2 linked regions of the Rattus norvegicus genome follow. The protein of the gene in region 1 interacts with the protein of each later gene in a pairwise test. Links are inferred from orthologs where the notes say so. Each region holds a gene or a part of one and is shown on either strand. Other genes may lie near its edges.

Region 1 (3,712 bases):
TGTGGCTGCAGGGGGGCCGCCAGAGTTGGGATGTGTGTTTCAGGCAAGATATCTAGCAGATCTTGGGGCAATGCGGTGCTGGATCTAGTGGGGGGTAAAAGACAGTTTTTAATTTAATTTTACAACAACAGCACTCTTTTAATCCCAGCACTCCAGAGACAGAGGCAAACTCATCTCTAGTCAGCCAGGGCTGCACAACAGAGAGACCCTGTCCATACACAAATAAAGTAAACCTGCTGGGCACACAGATCACTTATGCACCTATCTGCTAGCAAAGGAAGATTGGGCAAGGACATGTCCGGTCTACCATGAAATACAACAAAAAGATGTGCACAGCCAAGATAGGTAGCACTTGCTTACAATTCTGGCCCTTGAAGGTGAAGTCAAGAAGACCAAGAGTTCAAAGTCATCCTTGGGTATATAGAAATGGCTGTGTGTGGCCAGCCTGAGCTACATGAGACCTCATTTTAAAGACAAAGTAAAGAAATAAGATGTGCAGAGTACAGATGTAACGTGGGAATAAGAGCCTAAAGCGATGTGAGGAGGCCACAAACCAAGGAATACAGTTGGTCTCTGGAGGTTGGAGAGACGGCTCAGTGGTTAACACCTTCTTCTAGTTTTCTCAGGCTAGAAGATTGTGTAGGTACACACCCCCCACCCCCCTACACACACACATACGCATGCACTCACACACAAATACACATAACTAAAAATTTATCTTAGCCAGAAATGGTAGTGCTTGCCTTTAATCACAGCACTCAGAGGGCAGAAGCGGGTGGCTCTCTGTTAGTTCCAGGCTAGCCTGGTTTATAAAGTAAGTTCCAGGACAGCCACCAGGACTACTATAGAAACTTTGTCTCAAAAAAGCCAAAAATAGCCGGCCAAAAATAGCCGGGCCATGGTGCAAACCTTTAATATCAGCCTTTGGGTAGTGAGTTCAAGGCCAGTCAGGTCTTCATAGCTATATGTAGTCCAAGACAGCCAGGACTACACAGAGACCCTGCACCAAACCAAAACAAAACAAAAGAAACCTATGGATCCTTGGAGAAAAACATTAAAAAGGTAAAAAAAATAAATAAGTCAAAATAAAATAATAATAATTAAAAAAAAAAAAAGGACAAAGAAATGGATTCTGGATTCTACCCTCAGACTTCCAAGGATCTAGCCCTGCTTAAAATCCTGCCTTTGGCCAAGTGAAACTAATTTTAGATCACTACTAACTACTATTATAGTAGAACAAATCTGTTTTTATTTCAGTGGCCTAAAATAAATTCAAAGCACTAGAGTTACTCTGGATTATTGAGTTAAAAAAAGACATAGGGGCTGGAGAAATAACTCTGGTTAAGTTAAGAGCACTGACTGCTCTTCCAGAGGTCCTGAGTTCAAATCCCAGCCACTACATGGTGGCTCACAACCATCTGTAATGGGATCTGGTGTCCTCTTCTGGTGTGTCTGTGCACTTATATATAACAAGTAAATCTTTTTTTTTTTTTAAAAAAAAGACATAGGTAGGTTTTAGTAATTATTATTTAGCTACATTCTGAAGTATTTGAGGGTGAGAGAAAAAGATGTGACTTGCCAAAGGTAGCACAAGGGGGAAAGGCAAAGTAGCAAGAGGTTATGTGTTTGAATGTTCTGTAAGACTATATATAAACGCTCCCCATAGCTGAGGGTAGGACTGAGGTGTAGAGTAGCTGACTGCCTGGTGTGCTGGAGGCCCTAGTTCCACCTCATCATAGTCAAAAAAAAAAAAAAAAAAAAAAAAGGTTCCAAGCTGAAGATGTAGCCCAGTAAAAGTGGTGGTGGCCTCCACCTGTAATCCTAGCATTTGGAAGTTGAAGGCATTCGGGATCTAGCACAATTGCTGAAGGATCAGGAATTGAAGAACAGCCGAGGTTACATTGCCATCTCAAAGCAAAAAACGTTTTACCTTGGAGAATAATATTGATGATGGGTTGCCCTATCCTTTCAACAATAGCCCTTTCAAACTTTTTGATTTATGCAAGAAAATCTAAGTAGACAAACGAAGAACACTTCTGTAAAAGCCTGTCAGTCACCTGAAGCTCGGACTCTTCATTATCAACTCTGCAGGGTGCAGAAAAAGTTGTGGCGGCAGGCCACAGCGGTGGTCCTGACTACGTGTCCCACATTGCTAGTAGCAGAGGGTTTTACCTGCAGTTCTCCTTGAACCGGCACTTTCCCTCCAGGAAGAACGGGCAGGGCTTCAGGGACTTGTGGGTAGGGTATAGGTAGAGTACCCGAACGCACGCAGAACCATCCTCCGCCTCTTCGGCGCCAACAACCATGGCGTTGTGATACTCTAGCGTGCCCCACGCGCTGTAGTAGGGGGCATTCACTTTAGCACCGCTCAGATCCTCCAGATCTGGGTCCTCTTCCTCTTCCTCCAGTGCAGAGGAGGTGGGTGTCGGCTGCACCTCGCTCCCAGGGACCGTCTTCGAGTCATTGCCGGGGTCAACGGGTGCTTCCTCCGCTATAGCCTTCTGGAAAGCCAAGTACTCAGCATCTTCTTGGTGCTCCTGGTCCACTGTAGATAGCAGCTTGCTCTTCCTGACCGACAACAGGCTGGCCTCGGTGAGCTCGATCAATTCTTTTAGATCGCCCTGCAGCTGGCGCAGGTCCGCCTGCTCAGAAGCGTCTAGGCCAGCACCGAGCGCCAGCTCTACTTGCTGAAGCTGGGCCCGGTAGGTCTGCAGGGCAGTCTCTAGGTTGTCCTCGTCCATCCTGACCCAGAAGGCTGGTTTCGGAACCTTTAAGGCAGACAAGCTCTGAAGGAAGAGCAGTAAGAAGGGCTAAGTGCAACGCCGCCCCCCCCAAACCGCTAGAAAGGCTGAGGAGGACCCAGGCTCTGCCGAGGGGACCTGCACTTAACCCGCCCCCGTCCTCTGCCGTCCGCAACCCCACCTCCTGACTGCGGTCGCAGTCTAGAAGGGTTTCCGGCTTCCCCAGCAAAGCTCACGCGCTAACCTTCCGCCCTCCGCTGGCACTTCCGCCGGAGAGCCGATGCTGCCGGAAGTACCGGCGCGCGGGGGACGCTGGGATGCGACTCCGCCCGTGCTGGGTCTGTCGATCCTCGTTCCGTCAGGCACCGTGAGGGGTCAACGTGAGGTCGGTGGGGTTAGTAACGCGGTGGCGGCGGCTCCTCCTCCAAAATTTGAGCAGGTACAGGTGGGCCTCAGCTGAATTGAGGAGCTGGGGTTCTAGAGTCCTGAAATAGGGGGACGGAAGTGGCTTCAGCAGATGGTTCCTAGTCTCCGTGGGCCCAGCAGCGGCGGGAATCCGAAGCCGACCCTCGCCAGAAGCTTTGCCTCTTTGGTAGCTCCCTAGACAGTCCGCTGGCCCTGCTTCCTGTCGCTGAGTTGAGGGTTCGGAAAGAGGATCCTTTGGAAGGCGGAGTAGAGTAGGCCGCCACGGGCTTTTCAGGGTTCCAGGTCGATGGTGTATTCTGAAAGATGACCTTAAGTGGGAGTGGCCCAGGTTTAGCAGGTGGGCAAGGGTGGAGTCAGGGTCAGAGATTTTTAACCGAAGGGGGTGGGGGGGAGAGTCAGGATCCTCATTTAAAAACTAGCAGGATAGACTGATCACTGATGAAGCGGGCAGGAGGCCGATGACCCTGGTACACACCTTGACATCTCTCAGGGTGCCAAACAGGATGTACACGCTGCTTTCCGGGCTGTACAAGTACATGTTCCAG
Region 2 (3,649 bases), on another chromosome or scaffold:
GTGTGGTTGTTTGCCCCATCCCACACTCCCTTGGGAGATCAAGACAGCATTGGCTGAGGAGTCATAAACTTGGAGGGGATAAGGAGGTAAACAGCCATGCCCATATATGGAGCGGCTCCCAAGTTCCTCCCTCCTCCCCAACAGCCACTCCTGAAGCGGACAAGAGGAACTCTTGCATCTTTCATAGCACAAAACTGCAAAGCTGGCTTGGCTGCTGCTGGTAAAGCATTGGATCAAAGCCAGAAACTCCTGCATGCTGCGCAAGTACTCTCTCCCTGAGCCACCCAACGTCCTCAGCTCTGTTTTAGACAAAAGGACTCCTAAGTCATCTGCAGCTTAGCCCAAGGGTCTTTTCAACGCACGCTTTCACAGGAGCAAGGTGAAAACTCAAGTTCTCAACTCCTGGAAGCCTGCTGACTCAAGACACCACCACAGCCCGCCCCAGCATAGTGAAATACTTGCACTTGAGGCCCATTTGTTTATTCGTCAATAATTACCCCACTGATTGTCTTTCTTCTTCTGAAACTGTAAAGCTCTTCGGTAAGCTTGGTGGCTGAGAAGGTGAAGTTTTCCAGAGCAAACTTTTCTGGGGGCCGTGCGCTCCGGGTTGGGTTCACGCGCCGTGTGATCTGTCCCTCTGAGAAGGCCCGTCGAGGTGTTCTCCTCCTCTAAAACCAAGGGCACAGACAGATGGAGCTGAGTTAAACCGAGGGTGGCTATGAGTTCCCAGAAGCAGGGCCAGTCTGGGAAATCAGGAGTTTCAACTTACAGAAGCTGAGGGTGGCGTCCTCACGGGGAAGAAATCTGGCACTGAATTCAATTCCGCCAACAACTGAGCAAGCTAAGGTTCAAAAACAAAGGGGGGGTCTGACATCAGTCAAGGAGACAGGTCTGAGCCAACACCTCTCCTACGTCTCCGAACTACTCACTATGGCTTCCATAAACCTCAGTAACTTAATAGCCTCACGTAAGAATTCACCTCCTGAGTTAGAGGAGGATGCCGCTGTTCATCTGAGTCAGCATCACACCCCTTCCTTATATACAGAGACAACAGAACACAAGGAAGACATGGTTGCCTTGGCATGTCTGGGGCCAGGAGCATCAGGTCCTGATTTCACCACTATCTTAGCAGTGTGACCCGGAGCACATTTTACAAACTTGAAACTCAAATATCAGCTTGACCCACCATCTGGACGGCCCTCAGAACTCCCAGTTCTGCTGGGGCTTAAATGGTGCTACTCGATATAGTTCCAGCACCAGGATGCAGAGGCAAGAGGATCAAGACCGCTCTAGTCTCCCTGCAGCTGCACCTCAGACATTCCCACCTCCACACATACATACATCTGTCTCTACCCTCAGAGACCTAACGCCAACCAACCAGGCTCTTTACTCGGGATTTTCAGGTTTTAGATTTATATTAAACATGACACCACTAAGAACCGCCACGTATACCAACAAATGCAGACAGACAGAATGCTAAAATTTCCTTTAGCCGAGCACTCCCATCCCGAACAAACAAAATTCACAGGTTACTGTGTTCTCTTAATTTGCTAGGGGTAGGTCTGTGTATAAAGTATCAGCAATGTGCATTTTTTTTTTAAAGGATGGCATTTAAAAAGCCATCAACGAGGAGAGAAAAGAAAATTATGACCAGTAGAATCTCTTTTTAATTTTGCCAGTGTAAAAATTAGGAAGAATTACTTTCAATGATTGGGCTAAGTTACTGACACAGAGCACATAGCAAACCCGAATACACAGAACGAAGGTTGCTCTAGGTTGAGCTAACCACCAGGCAAGGCGTAACTGAATCAGAACACGGCAGCGGCTGCTTTAACTGTGGCCATTTCTCATCCCTTCAGATGATGTCTCTGGAAGAGTGGCTTTCAGATAGAAGCCACCACCTGCCCACTGCAATTTCCCCCGGGCTTGGTGACAGCCCAGCAACTCTTTGCTTCTTTCTGCGGGGGACAGTGCAGCTGGGTCAGTCCCTCTAACTCTCCAATGCCTCTGCCAACTTAGAACTTAGCCTGCTCAACCACGAGCAGCAGCCTCCTGCCTCCTTGGAGCAGGGATAAATGGTCCTTAGCCTTTCCATCCCCAAACCGGAGTTAATCACAACACAAATGTGCCCCAGGGTATACTTTCCCTCAGAGAGCAAAGCTGTGTCAGCAACCCTTGGGGTAGCTGGCTATGGTCCTAGCTGCTATGAGAGCGTACCATGGCCTTGTTCTCTTTGATGTTCATGGCCCTTTTCAGCAGAGCATCTGAAGTCTCCTGGCTCTCAGCCCTCGACTCGTCCTCAGCGTCAGAAGCAGAGTCTTCCTTTTCCTTGGGCTGCCTGCAGCTCTTCTCTCTTCTAAGATCCGTCTTGCCGCCCAGCAAGTGCGGGCTATTTTTATCTGGCGTTTTTGCCGTTTTTTTGGTGGGGAACTGAAAGGCTACCCGGAGGCCAAAACTGCTTCTCGTGGACTGGCGGCCTCTTCTAGGTGCAGCCTCCTCTTCATCATCATCGTCCTCCTCGTCACTCATCATAGGATGTGTTTTGTCACCATCGCTCAGCTCTGACTCTATGAGCTAAGGGACAAGGAGAAAGGAGACTGAAGAGAGTCTGTAATCACCTACCAAAACTAGACCAGGCGACTGTTCTAGGTAGGAATACAGGTCAGAATTTGCTCCACCACATGTTCCTGCCTCGCTGGACAGACACAGAGCAACAGGGCCAACTGATGAGGTGCTGAAACCTTCAAGCTGTGGGCCACAGACAATAGACCCTGGTATTCTGTCCTAGTGATGGAAAACTGATTCGTACAATATGTCCTCAATGCATTCAATAATGAAGTTTGTGAGTAGGCCTACCCTGAAACTGTGTGTGTTGTGTGTGTGTGTGTGTGTGTGTGTATCCATCTATCTATCCATCCATCATCCATCCATGCATCTATACCTATCTCTCTATATATACAGTTTTATACACACACACACACACACACACACACACACACACACACACATTTGTATATATCACACAGTATATAGATTTTAAGCAAGAGGGGCTTTGGGAGCAGTTTACTTCCCCTCATTAGAAACAAAAACTCCTTAACTAGGTATCACCAAGCTAAAGAACTACTAGCAGTTAAAGAAGTCACCTAGTTATGAAACCCATCAAGTTTTGAAGGTCTTCGTGTCTTTCTAGTGACAATCTGAAACATCTGGGAAAAAACACTGGGTGTCTGAGCAGAAGCATCTGCCCAGAGCAGAGTGGGTGAGGCAACCACAGGACTTACAAGCCCTAAGTGATGCCTGAGGGAAGGAGAGCAATGGAGAAAGCCACTGTCACCACCAACCGTCCTGCAGGTTGTGTCCAGCGTTGTGTAAAAGCTGATGACATCGAATAGGCATAAGCTAGCCTCACCTCGCCAGCAAAGGAAGGGGTATTATCTATTTTCAGACAAATAGTCTACTTTCCAGTTAGCACTAAACACTTATGCTTTTTAAAATCATCTGCCTCATGATGTTCCTATGAATCAGTTAAAAATACAAATTTTTGACCTCTTGGGATCGCGTCTGGAGAGTGGCTAGTATTCTGCCAGCTTCGGAAGCAGGAGGGAGAACAAGTCTAGCAGAGGTACCCATTCCATTCCCAGTTTGCTCA

The links. The genes of interacting proteins can lie anywhere in the genome.
Region 2: the proteins of Zgpat (region 1) and Cdca7l interact in binary tests that used the Homo sapiens proteins (3 or more experiments, as listed by UniProt). The two-hybrid records come from large-scale screens. The link is inferred for Rattus norvegicus from reciprocal best matches to the Homo sapiens genes ZGPAT and CDCA7L.

What each region holds. Positions count from the first base shown.
Region 1 is NC_086021.1:188,850,783-188,854,494, reverse strand, and holds the start of Zgpat (zinc finger CCCH-type with G patch domain-containing protein), read right to left. Parts: upstream 2,877-3,712; 5' UTR 2,742-2,876; coding exon 2,173-2,741; intron 1-2,172. Other genes in the region: Arfrp1 (ADP-ribosylation factor-related protein 1), read left to right, coding at 3,022-3,180, 3,587-3,712. UniProt on the Homo sapiens protein: Transcription repressor that specifically binds the 5'-GGAG[GA]A[GA]A-3' consensus sequence. Represses transcription by recruiting the chromatin multiprotein complex NuRD to target promoters.
Region 2 is NC_086024.1:144,975,123-144,978,771, reverse strand, and holds part of Cdca7l (cell division cycle-associated 7-like protein), read right to left. Parts: exon of another isoform or gene 3,544-3,649; intron 2,575-3,543; coding exon 2,218-2,574; intron 842-2,217; coding exon 770-841; intron 669-769; coding exon 498-668; intron 1-497. UniProt on the Homo sapiens protein: Plays a role in transcriptional regulation as a repressor that inhibits monoamine oxidase A (MAOA) activity and gene expression by binding to the promoter.